Linked DNA regions of Rattus norvegicus. The protein of the gene in region 2 purifies or fractionates together with the protein of the main gene of each other region. This does not show direct contact. Links are inferred from orthologs where the notes say so. Each region holds a gene or a part of one and is shown on either strand. Other genes may lie near its edges.

Region 1 (7,129 bases), about 100 Mb from region 2:
TGTAGCTCAAATGTTAAGAGTACTTGTCTAACATGCTTGTGCATTCTGGGTTCTATCCCCAGTAGGGCAAAACAAAAGGTGGGGGAACCATCCTCTATTTATTCGTATCGGTTTCCTCACTTACACAAAGATATCATCACGATCCAAGATGCCACTCAGAGGATCCTCCAGCTGGTAGAGCTTATAGAATCGGTGACTGAAGACATCAGCTACTATCATCTGGTAATAGGAAAAGGACATAGGGACAGTCAGTGTGCAAGGTTCTTTTTCCTTTAAACCCTACCTGCCCAGCCTCCCTCTTCAAAGTCTTACCTTATCTGGTGCAACACTTGTATGTGTGGACAGAGCCACACACAGATCTGAGATATTGCCCTTCTTAGGGACTACAACCCGGTGCTGAGGAGAAATAACATCCACAGAAGATCAAAGGAACTTATAGTAGGTTAATATAGAAAAGCTTGAGGAAGGCAATCAAATTCTGATTTAATGTCCCTCATTGTGTTCCCATAACCCCACCTGTTCTGGCTTGCGGCGGGGATCCATGGGGACAAAGAAGACCTCCAAGACCCTCCTGGAGCAGACAGGCAGTGGGACACTGAGGTAGCAGAAGGGGTCAAAGGTCACAGAAACATTGCCACAATCAGGGCACACCAGTGTAGACTTGAAGAGGCCATGGAAAGTGTCCACAATCACAGAATCATTTCGTCGTTTGTGGTTCTGCCAGGCTTCCTGAGCCACTTCCTGTTGAACAAATGTCATGGTAGGTTAGGGGAAGAGGGGAAAGTTTGGGGATGGACTCATAGGGGTTTGAGGTAAAGGACTCTGTTGAAGCCTAGTGGCAGGGTCACAGCTAGATCTATCTGGAACCCATGTTCCCTTTCAGAGCTGGCATTTTGCATGAAGGACAGGAGCCTGACTGGAGTTAACTCTAAGATAGGTATGGGGACAGATTTAGTGCTATGACTAAGGTTGAGGTGAAGGTCAAAGTAAGGGAATTGAGAAAATGGTAAGGTATTAGATAGACTGGGGAAACCAGAGACTTCCTAAGGCAGTGGCCATGTAGCTTTAATGGGTAGCCTACCAGATCAGGCCGCCCAGCACCATTGCATAGCTCAACATATTCTTTCTTTTTGACTCGATTGAGGTCCTCATGTAGTCCATCCAGGAGGAATGACAGTAGTTCCTGTGAGTCATGCTGCTGGTAGCCCAGAAACTGGGATGCGAAATGGCCAACCTTGTTCTGAAGAGACAGTAGATAGGAGAGTGAGCATGAGATAAGAGAAGCAAGAGAAAGGATGGTGGGAGGGAGCCCATGGGGTTGAGACACACCTTGAAAACATTCGGCACAATGGAGCGGTGGTAGCCAGACCAAGTCTGCTTTACCAGATCTGCATAGGCCTCAGCAAGCTCACCCTTCATGCCCAGAGGGTTCCGGAAGTTGAGCTCCTCCAGGTAGCGGTTGTTGAGAAAGTACTCCGTAAGCTGTGGCACATTGCTGAGGCACTGTGGTAGTAGGGCCCAATGAAAGAGGTAGAGAGGTAGGGTGGCATAGGTAAAAACAGAAAAGGAAGGGGGAGAGAGGGAAATGAGAGAGAGAAAGGTAAGGGGTTGCCATTGTGAATGCAGTATCAGGAAAAATCAGTATCTCTGGGGAAGGAAAATGGAAGGTGCCAAAGGAGGGAGGGAGAATAGGGAGCAAATGTGGGCACACCAGATCAGATTCATGGAGCCTTAGCTCTCCATCTGACCCCTTGTACTGTAATCTTCCTTCCCCCAATCCCAACCTCTAGCTCTGTCCCCAATACCTAACCACTATAGCTTGCCAGACATAGACCTAATAGCCCAACCTGTAGGGCCGAGTTCATGAAGCACGTGTTGCCCAGATTGGTAAGGCCACAGATGCCTGGTTGGCCCTGGAAGTCCTCATCCTCGTCCGGCATGTTGTTCCTGGGGTTGGATGAGAAACCCTATGAGCTAAGGTCGACTATAGGAGGGTGCTCTGTACTCTTAGGTTCTGTCTGCCTACTCTGGGGTGCCCCCACTCTGCATGACACCCCAAGGGCTCACATGCCACACAGCTGAGCGCTGGGCCAAGTGCCATCTTTGTTTCGGGTCTCCATGATGACCAACTGGGTATAAGGTAGAGAAAGAAAAAAGGAATGTATTAATGGAAGGCCTCAAGGGCACCCTGCCCTTCCCTCGTCTGACTAGTGCCAGGAATCCATCCACCTGGCTACCAGCACAGAGGAATCCCCCCCCCCCCACTGTTACCTGCCCAGTCTCAAGGCAGGCATCAAGCAGTGTGATCTGCGTGTTACATAATCGATCCAAAGAGCCCTCTGAGTTCTTGGTCCAGAGGCGCGTGTCTTCCTGAGGCTCTACCAGAAACTGCTCCCGGGCTGTTTGCAAGACTAGGTCTGTAGAGGGTGATGAAACATGACCACATCTTCTAGGACCCCATGTGATAGTGTTAACTCGTTCTCACAGACTTTGCTTACTTGGCCAATACTTTGTATCCTCAGATCATTCTTCACGCTTACAAACTCAGAATTTGAGACCTTTCCAATAAACACTCTTTTCCACCCCAGCCAAGCAACTGGAATATAGCCCATTTTCTGGAGACTCTAGAAGACACCCAGTATCTGTGCTTGACTTGGCCACCTTCCCCCACAGTTTAACTGGTGCCTTCTCAGGATGCAGTAGGCTGGTCCCCACACATCCTCAGGTTCACTGAGATATAACCCATGATTAGGAGCATGAATTTATTCCAGAGACCCTGAGACTTACCGACAGAATCAGAATAGCTAAACTGAATGGTGAGAGCTGTTTCCATATCACTGTGCTGAACGAGCAGCAGCTCTATTGGGTACACTTCCACCTTTCGAATGCCAGGAAGTTCTATGACCTGTGAAGGCAGAGGAGCACCAACACTCAAAAGCCCACCCAACTGACAAAAGAATGTAGGTATACACAATTCTGTACCTCCCTGAGCCTACACGGCCTTCCTCTTCCCCAACTTCCCAGAGATATCTAACACACACCCCCTCAGTATCTACCCCACCCATATATACCTTGCGCTCAATAGGTGGCTGGTCATCCTTTAAGCCATACCAGCTGACCAGGTAGTTCCAAGCAGGCGCTGGGAGCAGCACATAATCATCTCCTTCTACCAGTCTCTCCCTGAGGTGCCAGCTTATCTGATCTGCAGGTGTAGGGAGTACGGACAAGGTAAAACATGAATTAAGAAAGGAACTGTTAATTCTGACCACCCTACCAATGACTAAGCATAGAGAATGGGAATATGACCCCTCGTGGGAACAGAAGGAATCAGAATTCCAGGGCAAGGTTAATGGGGAGAGGCAGAAGCTTAGTACCTTCAAAGAGCCCCGAATTGTTGATACTGCCAGGAAAGGTGCTAGCATCTTGATCCCCTCCCTTCACATACGCCTCCCACTGTTTATACCAGTGTTTCTCCACAAGGAACCTGGAACCCAGACAGACAAAGGTGTCATATTCAGGAGCTAGCTATACAACTTTTCATCACTTGCAGTTACTTGTAGCAGCACTATGTAAATATAAGTAAAAGGCAAAATTTATTCAGTGAAATGCACATTTCAGTATTGGATAACTCGATTTTTTTCTTTATTCATTCCCATTTTTTTTAAAATGAGGTCTTGTACCAGGTCTAGTCAGGCCTGGAACATACTACATATGTAACCCAAGCTGGACTCAAGCTCTCTGGTTCCTTCTGCTTCGACCTCCTGAATCTTGGGATTAAAAGCTGTGTACATAATCTCATGGCTCAGCTATGCTGTGAGTTTGATTTGGGGTCTCTTTTGAGACAGGGTTTCACTACATAGTCCTGGCTAGCAGAGAACTGGCTGCCTCAATCTCCAAACTATAATTATAGACATAAATCACACTTGACTTTGTATTTCTGTGTTTGTTTGGTTAGGTTGGCTTTTTTTTGTCTGTACATTGCCCTCCCAACTCCCCAGACCTTATCACTTATTCCAGAAAAAATACACATCCCTACCTAGGAGCTCATGCCTGAAAATCTATCATTCAACCTATCAACTTCTACACTGTCATTCCTCCTTCCAGCTTTACTGGCCTCTACCATTTATGAAGTTCACTTAATAAAGCTATAGGTAATAGTATTTTCAATGCAAAGAGGGACACTGCTCAATTAAAAACATTAGTTTAGTTTCTGGCTTTTTTTTTAAAGACAAGATTTCTCTGTAACAGCCTTGGCTGTCCTGGAACTTGTTCAGTAGACCAGGCTGGCCTCAAACTCATAGAGATCTGCCTGCCTCTGCTTCCCAAGTACTAGTATCAAAGGTGTGCACCACCACATCCAGCTAAGATTTTATTTAATTATTGTATCCCTGTGTGTCTGTGGATAGAAATGTATACATGAATACAGGTACTCACAGAAACCAAGGGCTTCAGATCTTCCCTGGAGTTGGAGTTACTACAGGCAATTGTGAGCTACCTGACTTGAGTGTTTGCAATAACCCTCTTAACCACTGAACCATCTTTCCAGCCCCTCATCTTCCTAAAAGCACAGATTTAGAAGAAAATTAATATTAAAATCATTCTTTAGCAAAACTTCAGCTAGTTTAGGATGGGGATATAGCTTAGTGGTAGACCATTTACCTAACACATAAGAAGTCTTACATTGAATTCTCTCTCTCTCCTCTCCTTCCTCACACTCACACACACACAGACACACACACACACACACAGTGCACCACACTAGATACTACAGCATTTGGGAGGCAAGAAAATTACTTTGAATGTGAGCCCAGCCAGGGTTAGAAACTTAACCTCACACAAACGGGGAAAATAAATGTAGACACCACTCTGGGACAGCCTCACAACAGAGCACTATTGACTCAGGGCAGGATGGGCTTTACAAAGCAAGGCCACTGTTGACTGTTACCTGGCCAGAAAGAGTTAACTCTACTGCCATAAGCCCCAACTACAAATGTTCCAGGGCACTGCATCATTGAAATACTGCTTAACTACCTGCACAGAACACCCCTGCCTCAACAAAAGCCATCTCTTACATAATAAACTCTCTTCTTGTGCCCTTTTCTGCCTTGAATTCTTTCATTATTCATATCCCCACCATCCTGCATAATTAAAAAACTTATAGGTGATAAATATGACATTGCTCTATCAAGTTTATTTAAATACATCTAAATACACATAAAGGCATACTAGTGAGTTCTTTACTGCCCATTATCCTGTGGCCAATACACCCAAAGATGATTAAGACTTAGATCTTCAGTCACTTGTTTCTTGTTACCAAATTATTGCCAGTTCTTAGTGCTTTTTTATACTTTTAGTAATGTGTATGTGTGCCTGGGTGCAAGCATGTGCATGTAATTGCAAAGGTCCTCAGAGGCTAGAAGGCATGAGATTCCCTGAGGCTAGAGTTACAGGTGTTTGTGTGCCATCCAATGTGGGTGTTGGGAACTAAACTCAGGGCCTTGGGGTTGGGGATTTAGCTCAGTGGTAGAGCGCTTGCCTAGCAAGCGCAAGGCCCTGGGTTCGGTCCCCAGCTCTGGAAAAAAAAGAAAAAGAAAAAAGAAAACTCAGGGCCTCTAGAAGCAGTGTGTACTCTTAACTGCTGAGCCATTTCTTCAGTTCCTCTTTTTACATAATATCTTTTGTTTGAGACAGGGTCCCACTACGTAGCCCTGACTGGCCTGGAACTCATTATATAGCCCAGGTTGGCCTAGAACTCAACTGCCTTTGTCTCCAGAGTGCCAGGACTAAAAGGATGCATTATGAATGAATGGCTACATACTCAATTCAACTCAATTCATCTTTTTTGTTGTTGAGACAAAGTCTTATGTAGCCCAGGCTGATCTTGAACTACACGAAGATGACCATAAAAGCCTAATAATCTTTACCACTATGTTCTTATAAAACTTTTTGTCTTTCTTGTGACAAGACACACTTGGTAGCTCGGGTTAGATTGGGACTTGTGTTGCTCTGCTCTTGCTTTAGTTCTCAAGTGTTAAAACTTCAGATGTTGTGTTACCATGCTCATCTTGTTTTCTAAATATTCTTCCAAGGCTGGCCTCAAACTTGCCACAATCCCCATTTTGGTCTCTTAAATGCTGAAATCAGACAAATGAGTCACCATGCCCACAACTAGGTCCTGTTGATCTGTCTTTCCAAACTTAAGATAATGACACTGTGAAAATGCCATAATTATCTCCGGGAGATAACATAAGGTTGCTTTTCTCCTATAAAAAGACAATAGGAATAATCATATAGATCTTAAGTTTCCCAGATATTTTTTTAAACAGGGACTCACTATATGGCCTAGAACTCACTGTGTAGACAACTAGGCCTCCCTTTATCTCTATAGTGCTGGGATTAAAGCATGTGTTACCACACCTGGGAAACTTGTAATAACTTTCACTTTTCCAACTTTTTTTTTGAAACAAGTTCTCATGTAGCCTACATTGGCCTTGGCTCTCTGATCCTGTGCCACTACCTCCCTAATGCTGGGATTAAGGAGCTAGGATATGTGTTACCATGCCCAGTTCTTCCTATTAAAATATTTTTGAAAATGAGAAATCCAAAAAATGCACTTTACAGGCTAGGGTAAAACTCTCGGTCTGGAGAGATGGCTCAGTGGTTAAGAGCACTGTCTGCTCTTCCAGAGGTCCTGAGTTCAAATCCCAGCAACCACATGGTGGCTCACATCCATCTGTAATGGGGATCCGATGCCCTCTTCTGGTGTGTTTGAAGACAGCTGCAGTGTGCTCACATACATTAAATGAATAGATAAATAAAATATATTTAAAAAAAAAAAAGAACTCTCACAAGTCTGTGGCCAGCCTGGTTTATGTGTGAGACCTCAAGGGAAAAAATAAAGCTTATCTTCCTCAGTTGTATAGAATATGGTACTGTAAATATCTTTCACCAATACTCTTAAGGTCCTATGAAACTAGTTTCTCTTCATGTGCTGTTAGTGCATCTCTCTGAACCTAGCCACCCTTCTTCCTTAAGAACTCCTCAGTTGTTTTACTGGTTAGGAAGTTGTCTGTACCCTGTACAGATCTAACCAAAGTCTTAACTATCCTTGACTTAATGTGTAGACAAT
Region 2 (7,112 bases):
CCTTCATGTCCGTAAAAAGTATCTTGAGCAATGGTTATTATCAAACTTCACTCGTCAGAGGTGTTATCTACACCAACAATAGTGGTAGAGTCATACTCTTCAGCAGTGTGACCTTCAAATGTAGTGACTTTTAAAGTCAACCAAAAGCAAGTGAACCTAGAGAGATTATTTGGGTTTTCTTTTGGTTAAAATATGTATTGCAAATCCTTTCCTACCTTCACCTCTTTTCCTCTTTTGACTGGGCCTTTGTATGTAGATCTAGTGACCCAGAACTCTCTATGTGGACCAGGCCTGCCTCTCTGTTTGCCTCACTCAGTGCTGGGATTAGAGAGTTGCACTGTTTACAACTGGTTAACGGTACTTAAAGTAAAAGAAGAATTAGATAATATGGTAATATGTCATGTTATTATAATTACCCATATTATATTAGAGTTAATAACTTACAGAACATGTTCTATATGCTAATCACTATGTCAGTTGGTATAAAAGTACTAATTAATTAACTCCTTCACTCCTCTCACGGATCCAATAGGGTAGATAGTATTACTGTATTTACTTTTATCAATGAAGAACTGAAGTCTACTAAAGATTGCTCACTGTACCTCAGAGATGGAAAAGGAAAAGAACCAAATATAAATTCTAGCAGTTTCCACAGCATCAAGTGCACCTACCAAGGCTAAATGTTATTTTTGTTACTTTATGCATTTTTGTAACATTCTGGAAATGAGAACAAGAGGCAATATTTGTGAACAACTGGGAGTCAGATTTCAACTGGAAGCAAATGAAAGTAATCACTAATGTATGAACATTGAATGTGAAAAATTCAGTGCAAATGTTTTATAGGCTGTCCGGTGTTCATCACAGGATGTCAGAAGGAAAAAACAGGAATGAAGAAACTAATAAAACTGGACTTCCCTAAAAAAAGAAACCACAAAAAAAAACAAAAAAAAATCCCTTTATGGTAGATTAAATAAAGCATGGGTAAACTTTGTTTTAAAGTCACTTGTCACAGAATAAATGGAAAAAATCTAAAGAATTTTGGGTAAAATATACAGGTAAACTAACTTCTATCTCAATACAAACTAAATCCGATGCTGAGGAAAGTGACTATGTCACATATGGATTTCTGTTCACAGTCAATAGTCAAGGTTTTAACAAAAGAATTCAAAATCCTTGCAGATCTGATATTTCAAATATGAATCTGTGTTCAGAAACATCACAAAAATGCCTTAGGTTTAGAGCAAACGTAGATTTCATAATCCTTAGAGACCTGATGGCCACTTACCCTGGAAGTATAAAACTGAAAAAAAGTGTTCCCTCTCTGCAAGAAAAATCTGTCTGAGAATAGCATTCATCCTTTCTAGATAGATGAGAAGTAGGCTAAAGGTTAAAGATAATAAAAAGGCACATCCCAAAACAGGTACCGGTTATGATGACAACAAAAGATGTATACATGATTTGAATCCTACTACTAAGTATGTGGTGAGCAGAATTATTACATACATAGTTTAGTATGCAATGTCCTATCTGATGCACCTATGTTTTGAGGTTCAGATATCTCAAGACCCAAATATTTGTTGATTTAACAAATTAATTTAGGCCTTTTCACCACAAAATCAAGAGCTGGGTACTAAGAATTTGGGGTTCCTATGAAATACGTTCCTTCTCCTATGAATAGTAACTGTTGAATGATAATGATATAGGGGAGAAAATAGTAGGTGCTATAGTACCTACTATTGCTAATAGTAGAGCAAGTGCTCTCCTACTTTACATAATACGAGAGTTCTCTTGACTATCTTGAATGTAGATGGACACATGAGTATTTTAATTTAGGACAGTACCAAGTTATTATATTTACATAATTTACAGACTTAAATCTTTATAGAGGTCTAGAACCGGACGAGCACTCATTTATCCCAGAGTTTCTATTTATGACATAGTCAAGGAGTAAAATAAACATAAATAAGGGATTGACAAGAAAAAATGAAAGTAACTACCAAGGAAATGACAGGAGATTAAAAACATGATGTGATGAGGATATGGATTAAGCACAAATATTCGTACTTGAGAGTTTTTTAATTTATTTATTTTATTTTATGTGTATGTTTTACTGCATGTGTGTCTCTGTGCCATGTGCATGCCTGCTCCCTCTGAAGGTGGAATCCCCTGAAACAGAGCTACAGGTGACTGTAAGCTACCAGGTGAGTGCTGGCAATCTCACTGATATCCTCTGTAAAAGCAAGTTCTTCTAACTGCTTAGCCATCTCTCCGGGGTTCAAAAAAAGTTTTGTTTTGTTAATGGAATATTGCTATGTAGTTCTGTCTGGCCTAGAACTAGCTGTGGAGAACAGGTGGCTCTCCCACTTGAGGCAATCCTATCTTCTCTATATGCCTCCCCCACCTCAACCCCACCCTGAGTGCTGGGATTACAAGCATCTGCCATGTTGTCTGACCTGACCATGTTGCCTTGTGAAACGGAGGAGAAACAGTGAAATTTCAGGGCAGGGTCTCAAAGACGGGAGGGGGCGGGGGAAGGGGGCGACCTGTAGCCTCAGTAGCTGAGCGAGAGTGGAAAGTGAGAGGTAGGAGAAAAGAAAGATAATCCTGGGGAACAAGGGAGCAGGGAAGAAGGAATAATCCTGAGGAACTGGATGTTAATCGTCTCTAGTAAGCAAAAAAGGCAAATAGAAACAAAGAGAGGTGACTGAAAATTCCCGTTGTGTCTGAGGATTCTGGCAAGTGCTGGCAAATGGACGCCAAAGTGGTTACTAGGGATCTGAGCCTAGCCGTGACGCGCGCCCCTCACGTGACCAGGAGCCTATGTCTGCCCAAGACCCTCTCTGGTCCCGGTCCTTTTTGCCTGTCCAGACACCGTCTTTCTATTACCGTTTGGTCGAGAAGGAAAGCAGAAGTAAGTAAGTTCCCTGGATCCTCTAGGTTTGGTGATTGTCAGAGGTGCCTTGTAACCTGCGGGATCGGACCTGCAATGCAGAATCCTGATCTTTCACTATGCTGCAGCCCCGCCCCCCCGCCCACGGTTTTAGTACAGAAAATGGTGGTCCTGGGAGTGGGGTGAGGTACAAAGAACGATGTTCCACGTGAGGTCTGAGGAAGGTGAACCCCAATGGAGCGGTCTTTGGGCGGTTAGCTGGTCCCCACATAAAGGGGTGTGCGTCATTGCTGCTGTTTCTCTTCCCTATCCCCGCCCCCTACCCTGCCTAGCGTCTAACTGTAGATTTGCGGGTCTCACTTAGGCGACTCAAAGGGGAGCACACCGGCCGGAGGTTGGGGTAAGGATGATCAATGGGACAGGGTCGGGGTCTGAGAATGAACACTTATGGTATCAGTCTGTGGACTTTACTGCTCCGCCCCTGTCACTGCAGGAGAGGCCTGTGGCAAGGCCTGCTGGGAAAAATGGTGGTCTTTCGGGAAGGAGGGGGGCTTGCTGCACAGTAGCCGGCCTAAGGGCCCAAGAGCTTCTGAGTGAGCTAAGATTTAAAGACACCGGTCTCAATCAGGCAAAGGCAGAGATTGAAACGCGTAGCTGGGGTGTTGATTCATCCCGCCAAGTATTGTGACTCTGTTCTGTTTTTTTTTTTGTTGTTGTTGTTGTTTTTTTTTTTTTTTTCTGTTTTCTTGTCTCAAGAATAACTGCTTGGAGAAGAAACTTCTCAACATGGAAAACTCACACAATGAAAGTGAAGAACAACCACAGAGCACTCCAAAGGTCGAAGAAGAGCAGCCTGCAGTGGAGCAGTCTCCTGAAAATCAGTGTTCTGAGGATGATCAATCCTCAGAGGATCTGTCATCCGAGGAGCAGTCCTCCGACGAGGAGTTCTTTCCTGAAGAGCTTCTGCCTGAGCTGCTGCCAGAGATGCTGCTATGTGAAGATCGTCCTCCACAGGAGTGCCTCCCACAGAAGAACGCGTTCGAGGACCGTATTCCCATGGAGCAACCTCCCTGTGGGATAGGCAAACACAAGCTAGAGGAAGGAAGTTTCAAAGAAAGGCTGGCTCGTTCCCGCCCTCAGTTTAGAGGAGACATCCACGGCAGAAATTTAAGTAATGAAGAAATGATACGGGCAGCGGATGAGTTGGAAGAGATGAAGAGAGTACGAAATAAACTCATGATAATGCATTGGAAGGCAAAACGGAGCCGTCCTTACCCTATTTAATGTGCCCCACTTTTCATTGTTTTGCTTGCTAATAGCATTTGCTACCTGGCCCTTCTGTTTGCATCTTCTAATATGCCCTGTCCCATCTTAGTTGTAACAGTTGGTATTCAGGTTGTGCAGTTTTATTTCAGGTGTTTGACTTGTAACTGGCACGGTTTTGTTTGTTTTTAATCCTCTAAAATCTGTGTGATCCATTTGCATGGAAAGACAAACATTATATAGGTGAGGTGATAAAAGCAAAAGGTATATACATAGCATTCCATTTTTGTAAAAGGAAAACACATTTATATATTAATATGCAAAGAAAAGCTAAAATCTATATACTTAAAGGCTAACTAACATTGGTTATCTGTGTAGTAAAGATAATAGGTGATTTTTATATTTTTTAAATTTTGCTTTATCCAAAGTCTCATTTTTCATGATGAATACATTTTATTTATGTTGCACAACAAACAATATAAAGAAAAATGTGAAGCAAGTCTAAAATCAAAACTTGTTCATCAGCTTATAAAGACAATGTGCTCCTTAATAAATATTTATCAGAACTTAAAAGTTGATCCGATGTTTCTTCTGAATCTCTTTTCTAAGATTGATCTTATTTTTTTAATTTGTATGAGTATTTTGTTTATATCAGGTGTGTGAATAGTGCCTGCGGAGGACAGATGAAGGTGTTGGATCCCCTGGAACTGGAGTTACAGATGGTTGTGAGCCACCACATGGATGCTGGGATTTGAACCTAAGTCCTCTGGAAGAGCAGCAAGTGCTGGTAACCACTGAGCCATCTCTCCAGTCCCTCTTCTGGATCTCCTAAGCAGAAATAAAAAGCGGGATGTTTATTATCAGTAGGAGTAATATTTTCCAAGTTAAATAGGACTAAGACATACCTTAGACTGTGGTGGTGAAACTAAATGAGAAAAGGATCCTTTGAGCTCTTTCTTTTTTGGTAGGCCCTCCCCCAACCTCTACAGACTTGGTTGAAGCATGGGAAATTAATAGCTGAAGAATATCTCACTTGTGCTCAACAAAAAATTCCTGTGAGATTCCACATGGGTACCACATTCTGTTCCTGTTCTGCTGTACTCTGCCTTACCTGCCAGGTACAACTGCCCCTTCTATGTCCTGCAGTTTTCACTGTTCCTTTTGCAATCACTAGTGAGCTGCAGCTTGTAGTGCAGCTCCTCTCGACCTTTGGAGAATGTCCCTTCTTCCAGCTTTACTGTTAAACATACACAAGTATATATAGTCACAATGCTGTTAAGACTTTGATATAGTAAAAGAGTGCTCAACATTACTTTTAAATGCTAAGCAAAATGGCCTTTTTCCATGATTTTTATCTTAAAGTCCCTTTTTTATCCTCCCTAATTCAAGCATGAGGTCACTGAGACCTGGGATAGGAAGCCAAATTTGTAAGATGGACATCGTGCTGTGTAATTAGAATAGAAACTCCCTTTCCAAATATGAAAAGGGGGCTTCTATCTTGTCTAGTCCACTCGTGCCTTTGAGGCAAAGCTTCCATGCTCATGCTCAGGTTTCTGCATGTGTCTAGCATGCCTTTCTCTCTTCTGTTCAGCAAAATCCCATACAATCAGTCCCAGAAGATGTTCCTAACTGTCACCAAACCAAGTTGTTAGATGTCCTTTCCTGGTGTGTCTAAAGTACCAAGTGACTTCAACTTTTATTGTAGAAGCAACAGCAGCAGAAGCAACAGCAGCAGAAGCAACAGCAGCAGAAGCAGCAGCAGCAGCAGCAGTAATAGTAGTTGTTGTTATGTGTGTTACAATTATTTTAGGCATCTACTTCTGTGAATTGGGGAACTTCTCAAAATAAAAACCTGTATCTTGCTCACTAGCGCATCTAAAAGAGCGCAGAGCAAATACTCATTAAATATAATCTTCTTGAGCCAGATAGCCAAGAGGCTGGTGCTACCTCCTCTACTCCAACCTCTGTTATTCACAGCTAAAGCTGAGGTTGTGTCCATTAGTGAGCTCTTGGTATGAACAGTAAGCTGCTTAATGTGCAAGGCCACAGCAGTGGAAGCCTGGCCGGAGCAAGTGCTTTCTTTTGGGATGATCTGGGTTCCAGGGAAGGTGCTAGCGGCCTGTCTGGAGGCTGTTTCCATAAAGAGTAACTGATGGTTCTGTTGCCTCTCAAAATCTGAGGCATCTTACCAAATAACAGAAGCCAATTATTGGAAGGTCATGGTGGTGGTACAGAATAGATTTTAGTGTGATGAGCTCGGTGATCAGAACTGGCTGCATGATCATCCTAAGGACCACACGAGCTGACAACTTCCAGTGAAGAGCTTACAGAAGAACTCAAAATCGCTCGTTTTTACTTCATATACATGAGTGTTTTGCCTGTGTGTACCACATACATGCAGGGACTGCTAAGGTCAGACGAAGGCCTCAGAACCCCTGGAGCTAGGATTGCAGAACATTTTGAAGTGCCATATGGGTGCTAGGAACCAAACCTGGTTCCCTCTGCAAGAGCAGCACAGGATCTTAACTGCTGAGCCATCTCTCCAGTGCCTTATTTAAGGACTTTTATGGCACTGGACTTCAGCAACAGATGAGTCAGTACCAGGGCACGCATTAATCAGGCAGTAATCCATTTCCGAGGCACATCCTGATATTATCTGAAGGTCACCAGATGTTCTGGGTCCCATAAATTTGAAGGAAGATTACAGAATATGAAGTTTTATGATCAATGCTTCTCTTGTCCCTTTTTTTCCTGGAATCCTTGACCCTAGAAACTAATCTTTTAATCATTTAGGGGCAGATTTTCTTCATAACTTAAAATATAAGCAAAGGTAAAGAAAACAAGCAGTAAGTTCATAAAGGACAATTTGCAAAGGTCAAGTTAACTTACTAGACTGTTTTATTACCAAAAGAGGCCTCTTTTCGGCATGTTGGAAGTGCGACATTTTATACTAGAAGGC
Region 3 (7,229 bases), on a different chromosome or scaffold from region 2:
AAAGGGCACTCCTTTTAAGATGTTCTGCCAATATTTCTATCAGATGATATGCAAAGATAACTAAAGTAACCCATACAAGTTTATGAGCTGATCGATCTACCTGGTTTCCATTGTGTTCTTTTCATGGGCATACAAACAAATGTTATTTGTGCTTAATAAACTATGGTTGATTACCTGTATTTTCCACATTTGCTTTTAATAGAGTATAAGTGGTGCCTATTAGTCTATCAAATATCTTGATTTTAGATAGTTCTAAATATTTCAAGCTAATTTTTCTCCCAACAATGAAGTCTGTATGTTACATGGAGCAATGTTACTTCTAATCAAGCTATTCTCCAAACCTACCAATTTTGGTTTAAACTCATCTCACCTGGTATATAATTGTAAAACCATTGAAACGCCAAGAAAAATGTTTCCAAGTTCAGAGAATGGTGTGGTTAGTGTAGTTTTGATTATATGTTGACTCTATGCCAACTTTATAATGTATAGAGCACTAGATGTTTCACCACTCCATAAATTCAAAAGAATTCAATGAGTGTGCATATATGTATATGTGCAATGCTACTTGAAAATTCTATAACCTAACATTCAATTGTAAGAGGTAAACTGTTTATTGCACTGTGCTATGAGTTTCTAGTTTCACACAGCTTCACTGGCAGTGGGATTCACAATTTTCCAGTTCTAACAGTTCAACAGGGCAGAGAACATCTAACTGCTGACAACAGTAAGAAACAGTTTATACTTATTTGCTAAAGATAGCCAAAGGAAGGAGCAGAAAACTCAAGAAAGCAGACAAAGAAACTAAAGACCTACATAGGCAAGTAGGGGTAGAGGACCTTCCCAACACGCAAATGTACCCTTCCCGCTCAAGAAGACACAGTAGGGTTAGATAAAACAAGTCCTTAAATCTAGGAAACGGTCTCTGCCTCATCAGTAAGTTATTCCTGTTTCCCCATAGCAAAGGAAAAGTTCTCCTAAGTCCTTCACTTATTCATCCAAGTATTTGAACACATACTAAATGCCAAGCAAAGTTCCATTGTTAGACATAAAGAAACTCGCATAATAATGCACCCTACCTCCACTCTAACTGAAACGAAAGCCACTGCCTAAGGTCTGGAGAGAAGCGTGAACAAGTTATTTAATTTCTTTCAATCTCACTTCCTACACTAAAAAAAAAAAAAAAAAAAAAAAAAAAAAAGAAAAGAAAAAAAAAGAAAAAAGAAAAAGAAAAAAGAAAACAAACAACAACAACAAAAAACCAAAACTTACCCAATTTGAGGACACTTAGAAGGGTTCAAAAGACACCACAGAATAATTATTTAACAATGACCTACTTTAACAATGTTTTCACCTTAACTTCTTCAAAATCCACTACTCTGGATATTGCTTTTCTAACCTATAAATTCCTTTTGTTACAAAGTGTTTTCCAGATGAAACAATGTTAAGCAGCCTTCGACTTGTTTTCCTTCATCCAGAAAAGCTGGACTTGCACACAGTAAATAAACAGTTGCATACAACCTGAAATTCTCTTTTATTTAGCCTAGTAACTCCATCACAAGACACCCTCAAACCATCAAGACCCCTAGGCCCAGATGTAAACATGGTTTTAATTACTGGTTGTTGCTTTATTCTCACTGAATATAACTTGGTTCTAGAGTTGTAAGATACATTTTTGTTAAATACAACTTAATTACTTTTGCGATCAACTAGGGAATGTAGCAGTAAATGCTTGGACAAACCGAAGCAGATTTGTACCTTAAGAGAAGGACTGAGTTGTAAGAGTTTCTCAGGCAAAACCCATAACAAAATTGTTTTTGAACTGAAATCCTAGAAGATACACTGTTAAAAACTGATTCAAGTCCTCCCATCATTATTTAGTAACTAATTACAGCAGCCCAGACCAAAGACTTGTCTGAAAGTGAAGCTCCCCCTAAAAGGGTTTTTTTTTTGGGAGGGGGGGAACAATATAAGTTAAAGACCTTTTACATTACATGTGAAGTCCAACAGGCCCTTAATCATGAGAAGGAAATCTAGTCTCTTGTCAACCTCCCAAGAACTAAGAACTATAAAGTTTAAATATTGCTCCCATTTAGATCAGATCAAATAAATATACTAGAATTTCTTCTTTAACTTGACAGACAAAACAAAAACAAAGACAAACCCCACAATTACGATTGAAATCTAGTACATGAGCCTATATTAGATACAAAGGTTATTAGCCTAGAGCAAACAGGCTGGTCATCTGCATACACCTGCCTCTAAACCTTGATTTGGTAGATAAGTGGAATGGAAGAGAAAAGACATGTTTCAGAGTCCAAGTAGTGGCAGCTCTGTGGCACAACTTTGACCAGGCAGCATGATGGCTAAGGGGGAAGTAGGGAAATTTCCTGGACTGGAGTACAGGCCATGTTAATTTCTAAGGATGGGGCCCATAGGCCATGAACCTCAGCCTTCCCCAGGCACAGGTCTTCATCAGTAACATGGGATCAACAACAAACAGTCCTTAGTAGCCCAAAGCACTGCTGTAAGGACCAAGTAGAGTGCAGTTGCTAGTGATCATTATGATGCCTGCAACGAGGTTAAATGCCCAGGGGTCATTTTTCCTTTGCAACACGAACACAAGGCACATGGTGGAAACTCTGAAAACACATAGGCAAGTAACTTTTTCCAATGATCCTCTCAAGACTCATAATAGTATAGGCATGAACTGAGTTCAAATGAAGTGTCTCAGAAATCAACATTTAACTCACAATGGCTAAAACCTGCTTCCTTTAAGTAGTTTTCAAGAAAATGGCAAAAACAGAAGATCCCAAGGCATGCACATTATTCAGAGTAGAAATATCTTCTGTCTTGACAAACTTTCTTTAAGTTATAATCACTATGGAGCCTTTGTTAGGAATCTTCTTTCAGATGTTTTTGCACAAGGAGTCTTTGTGGGCACAATGGCTTCCTCACTGGTTATTTCCCTACTATTTTGTCACACCAATATTTGTATCACAGAGTAGAATTCATTCCTTTCAAAAGATCTAACTGAAAAAGGTTCCTTCCAGAATGTGTTCGCTGGTCACACGGTTCCATTTCTCTCCTTCCTCTCAAACACCCTATATGGGACAGCTCCACCCAAGGCTTCCATACATGGCTGTACCCACAACAACCCAGCCTCATTAACAACCAGAGTCCCTCCCACTCCTGCCTCACTAACCACACATCCACAAATACCCACCGAACAAGCCAAACAGAACTAAAAAACACAACTAAGCTCCTTCCCTTACATTCACACTCCATTTCCACGTTGTAAAGTTTAAGAAGTTGAATGAAGAAATAAAAAGGAACACCCCACCTGAAATCTTCATTTTTGAAAGCACTTCCAAGCTAGCCCTCAATGGTGACTCTAAATGTCATCCACTTCTTTAACCTATTACTAATAAACAATATTCCTCCCGTTGAGGGCATAATCAGACTGTCCCAGCGGGACCCAGTGCCTGCGTTAATGAAGCATGTCTGAACAATCCTAAACCCACTATTGATCTCGGGCCACTGGAGCTCTAGGCCAAACACACCTTAACACTACACACCATTTCAAAGACTTTCATGGTCTAGAGTTCTGCACCTCCTGATCACCTGCCAACTTTCTAGTGGCCCATTTCAGAAAAGGGAGGGAGGGGCGCTTGACTGTCCCGTTACCAAGGTAACTGAAAACCGTCTGACTGCCCAGCCCCCAGAAGATGGTTTTGTTTGTTTGTTTAGGGGTTTTGTATTTTGTTTTCGTCTTTTTGCTTTTTTACCTTCAAATCTTTCTTGGTAACGTCAGTGTGAGAAACAGCTCGAATGGTCCCGGACAGCCAGGGCCACTCTGCAACGCGCTCCAAGTCCCAGTTGTCGTGGCCGCCGTCGCTGCCTTCAGCTGCGGACAGACTGAGGAATCGCTTCCCCACCAATACTGGCCAACTTTCTCCGAGCGTGAGCACCATGGTTTCCACGCCAGCAGGAAGGGCTCCTCCCTGCAGAAGGCACAAAAACAAAATGCGATGGGGGCGGCCGAGGTCGGAGGCGGCCCGAAAAGACGAAGCGCCGACGGGGACCGGTGGAGTGACACCCCCGCAGGTGGATTCCGCACCCCAAGCTGCCACCAGCGCCTCCCCACCCCCCCACTACTCCCCCCCGCAAACACCCGCCGGAGTGCCGCGTGACCCTCTCGCCCCAACAACTTTCGCTTTTTCCAAACCTTTCAAAGCTGGACACTGAGAGAGAGAAGGGAGGACTGAGCCGCAGCGCCAGTGCTTTTGCCTAAGTGTTCGTCCCCTCGCCCTGGCAAAGAAAAGGCTCCCTCAGTGCCTAGGGCCCGTCCCAGCGGCCGGTCCCCGCCCCGAGCGGCCTCGGAGCCGCCGTGGACTAGCTCGAGACTCGACACTTGCCGCGCCCCCGCCCCCCGCTTCCGGGCCGCCGACTCGGGCGCACCCCCGCCCGTCCTGAACCGTGAACCGAGAAGACGCGGCGACCGCCCGCGCGGGTCCTTCACCCTTCTCCCTCTGTCTCCCGCAGCCGAGGCCCGCGGAGCGCTTACCCCGCCTCCCGCCTCCCTGAGTCACCCGCGACGGCGGCAAGAGAGCCCAGCCGCCCAGCCGACTCTAGCTCTGACTTGGTTCAAGAGCTCTCTCACACAAGACACGCACAGCCTCCCGGGCCCGCCCCCTCGGAGCCGCTGCCACCGATGATTGGCTGAGTCGCGGGGGATAGGCGGGGCAGCCAAGGAAACTCTTGGTTCCTAATGGTTAAACTGAAGAGGGCGGGGTCGGGAAAAAAAAACAATTCCTTGGCTGCCTCCTCCCTTCCCCCCTCCCAGCACCGACTGGAAGCCGACCCCCATTAAAGCGCGCAGACTGCGATCAGCAGATCCTTCCGCCGCAGCTCCATTCTTCCATTTGTTGCCTCGCGCTACGCAAAAAAGTCCCGCCGAATCGGTTATCGACTTTGAGGCCAGAAAAGAAAATCACACAGGCTCACAGATAAGAGTGAATGGGGAGACCCAGGACCATGAGCGCCTATTGGATTGCACTTGAAGCGCGTAGGCTGTCGAGCAAAGACGGACCTTCCACTAGGCGGAAGAATCTCACGGGAAAGGGGCGGGGGCGGTACACAGCCTGCGGGGGAGGGACAGCACCGGGACGTGCGGTTTCAAGCGTACGCAGCTAGAGGGGGAGGAGCGACTGGGCTCCGGGGGCTCGTGCGCAGGCGCCAGAAGGGGCGGACTCTGGAGCTTGGGTTGATGGGTGAAATGGCCGCTGGAGGCGCAGGCGCACGTGGTATTGATCATGACTGTCTAGGTCCGCCATTTTGAAGGATAAATGAAGAAAGGCAAGGAGTTGCTGGAAAACGATGTTCATTAAATCTAAAGGCAAACAATTTATTCAAAACTATGTGGAATGCAGGGTTTCTTTAAAAAAAATGTAAGGTGGATATAAGATGTTTTGAGACAACAAAGAAATTGAAAAAGGAGATGAAGTTGATGATTAAAGAGCTAATGGAAGAGGTGACTTTGAAAGACAAAGGAGAGAAAAGACGATTTTGTGGTTTGGACCAGAGGATTCTTGGTTGAATCAGAAAATGGAATGAATAATTGAAGACTTCTTTATGAAGCCTGGTGTTTGACCTAGCATCGCACTTAATCTTTATTATAGAATGAAAGGAAATTTAATTTTAAAAGTATGAAAATGAGAATTAAGAAAAAGTTCAAAAAGTAGTAGAAAATGAATACACAATGCAAATTAGTGCCAGATGTTCATTTTGAAAAATACTTGGTTTGAATACATGACGTCAGGATGTTAAAGCTTAAATAATGCTGAAGTTGAATAAAACTGAATTCAATTTATGATATTCGAACCATTAAGAGATGGGAAATGGAATGAAGAAACCTATCCACTTCAACAAAAGGCAGAAATGGGAGCAAGAAAAACAAAAGAAAGAAGAAGAAAGTATGGTTAAAAATAAAATGACAGGAATAAGTCCATTTGTATTTACAATAAATATAAATGGGTTAATTTTATAAATAAACATGGAGAGGTTCTTAGTGGTTTAAAATTTTTTGACATAAGAATTAAGTACAGCATAAGAAGCTTGAAACTATTACGGTAAATTTTTTATAAGACTAATCAGAGGAAAACTACATTAGCATCTTTATACATTATTTAATGAGGATATATTCTGAGAAAAGGTGGTTAGGTGATTTCATCATATTGATAACGATATGCTTATAAAAACTACCATGTCACTGAGAAAACCTTATGGGATCACCATTGTATATGTAATGTGTCATTCACCATAATGTTGTTACACAGTGTATGACTAAGAGTAAAAGCATAAAAAGAAAAAAATTATATTAATAAAGGATTGGTTCTATAAAATAATATGTATTATTGAATTATTCTAACTGAAAGTATTAAGTTAATAGTACTAAATTACAAGAAGGTTTTGACAGCTTATAATCACATTAAATACTATAAATCTATCTCAGAAATTTTAAAAACAAGAGGATGTGGAAGACTTAGATTACATGACACATAACTTGAAATTAACTGCTAAAGACATAAATTCCACTAAAACATGAAAAACATTTTAGGCATACTTCTACTAAAACACATACAATATTTTTTTTTTATTCATGATTCCAGAACCAAGAAAAGTTGGAGAGCTATCCAGTATACTTTATGAACTTACAAAGTCTTATTACCAAATAAGAACCAAAAAAATACAGCAACAAAATACAAACATAGATGGAAAGTTCTTTTATTTAGTACAGGTATTGGGAAATAATCATGTTTATTGCTAACTATTAACTATAATCATTGTATAAAATAATGGATTTTATTTGGACATTTTCATATGTAATTCATTTTAGTAATGTTCTTTCCCATATTACCTCTCTTATTTTCCATTGCATTCCTGATAGAGCTGCCAGAAATATTAAAAAGAAATTAAATGTTCATGAGCTTAAAACTTTAATGAGCTTCCTAGAAACCAATGTGTGTGTTTGTGTGTGTATGTACATGTGGTAACCCTGAGAAAACAACTAACAGATAATGGACTGGAAGAAAGGGTAAGATCATTCAGTTGTCAGCATTGTACAAGTCATATCCAATGGATGTGGGAAGAAAAATGGAAATAATCTAAATGTACTTCAATTGGAAAATGAGTAAATAAAATGAATAAAAAGAACAAGGAATAATGGCTCC

What was found.
Region 1: the proteins of Tceal1 (region 2) and Usp11 purify together in Homo sapiens (affinity purification with mass spectrometry; 4 studies listed by BioGRID, counting the BioPlex papers as one, with this or other methods). This does not show direct contact. The link is inferred for Rattus norvegicus from reciprocal best matches to the Homo sapiens genes TCEAL1 and USP11.
Region 3: the proteins of Tceal1 (region 2) and Kdm3a purify together in Homo sapiens (affinity purification with mass spectrometry; 3 studies listed by BioGRID and IntAct, counting the BioPlex papers as one, with this or other methods). This does not show direct contact. The link is inferred for Rattus norvegicus from reciprocal best matches to the Homo sapiens genes TCEAL1 and KDM3A.

What each region holds. Positions count from the first base shown.
Region 1 is NC_086039.1:4,031,810-4,038,938, forward strand, and holds part of Usp11 (ubiquitin carboxyl-terminal hydrolase 11), read right to left. Parts: intron 3,485-7,129; coding exon 3,375-3,484; intron 3,203-3,374; coding exon 3,072-3,202; intron 2,906-3,071; coding exon 2,788-2,905; intron 2,418-2,787; coding exon 2,272-2,417; intron 2,130-2,271; coding exon 2,068-2,129; intron 1,948-2,067; coding exon 1,848-1,947; intron 1,504-1,847; coding exon 1,330-1,503; intron 1,241-1,329; coding exon 1,082-1,240; intron 742-1,081; coding exon 517-741; intron 397-516; coding exon 313-396; intron 220-312; coding exon 125-219; intron 1-124.
Region 2 is NC_086039.1:104,847,999-104,855,110, forward strand, and holds Tceal1 (transcription elongation factor A protein-like 1), read left to right. Parts: upstream 1-2,814; 5' UTR 2,815-2,911; exon of another isoform or gene 2,912-2,915; intron 2,916-3,258; exon of another isoform or gene 3,259-3,290; intron 3,291-3,646; 5' UTR 3,647-3,676; coding exon 3,677-4,174; 3' UTR 4,175-4,726; downstream 4,727-7,112.
Region 3 is NC_086022.1:105,228,652-105,235,880, forward strand, and holds the start of Kdm3a (lysine-specific demethylase 3A), read right to left. Parts: upstream 4,720-7,229; 5' UTR 4,565-4,719; intron 4,461-4,564; exon of another isoform or gene 4,434-4,460; intron 4,309-4,433; exon of another isoform or gene 4,226-4,308; intron 4,002-4,225; 5' UTR 3,972-4,001; coding exon 3,786-3,971; intron 1-3,785. UniProt on the Homo sapiens protein: Histone demethylase that specifically demethylates 'Lys-9' of histone H3, thereby playing a central role in histone code.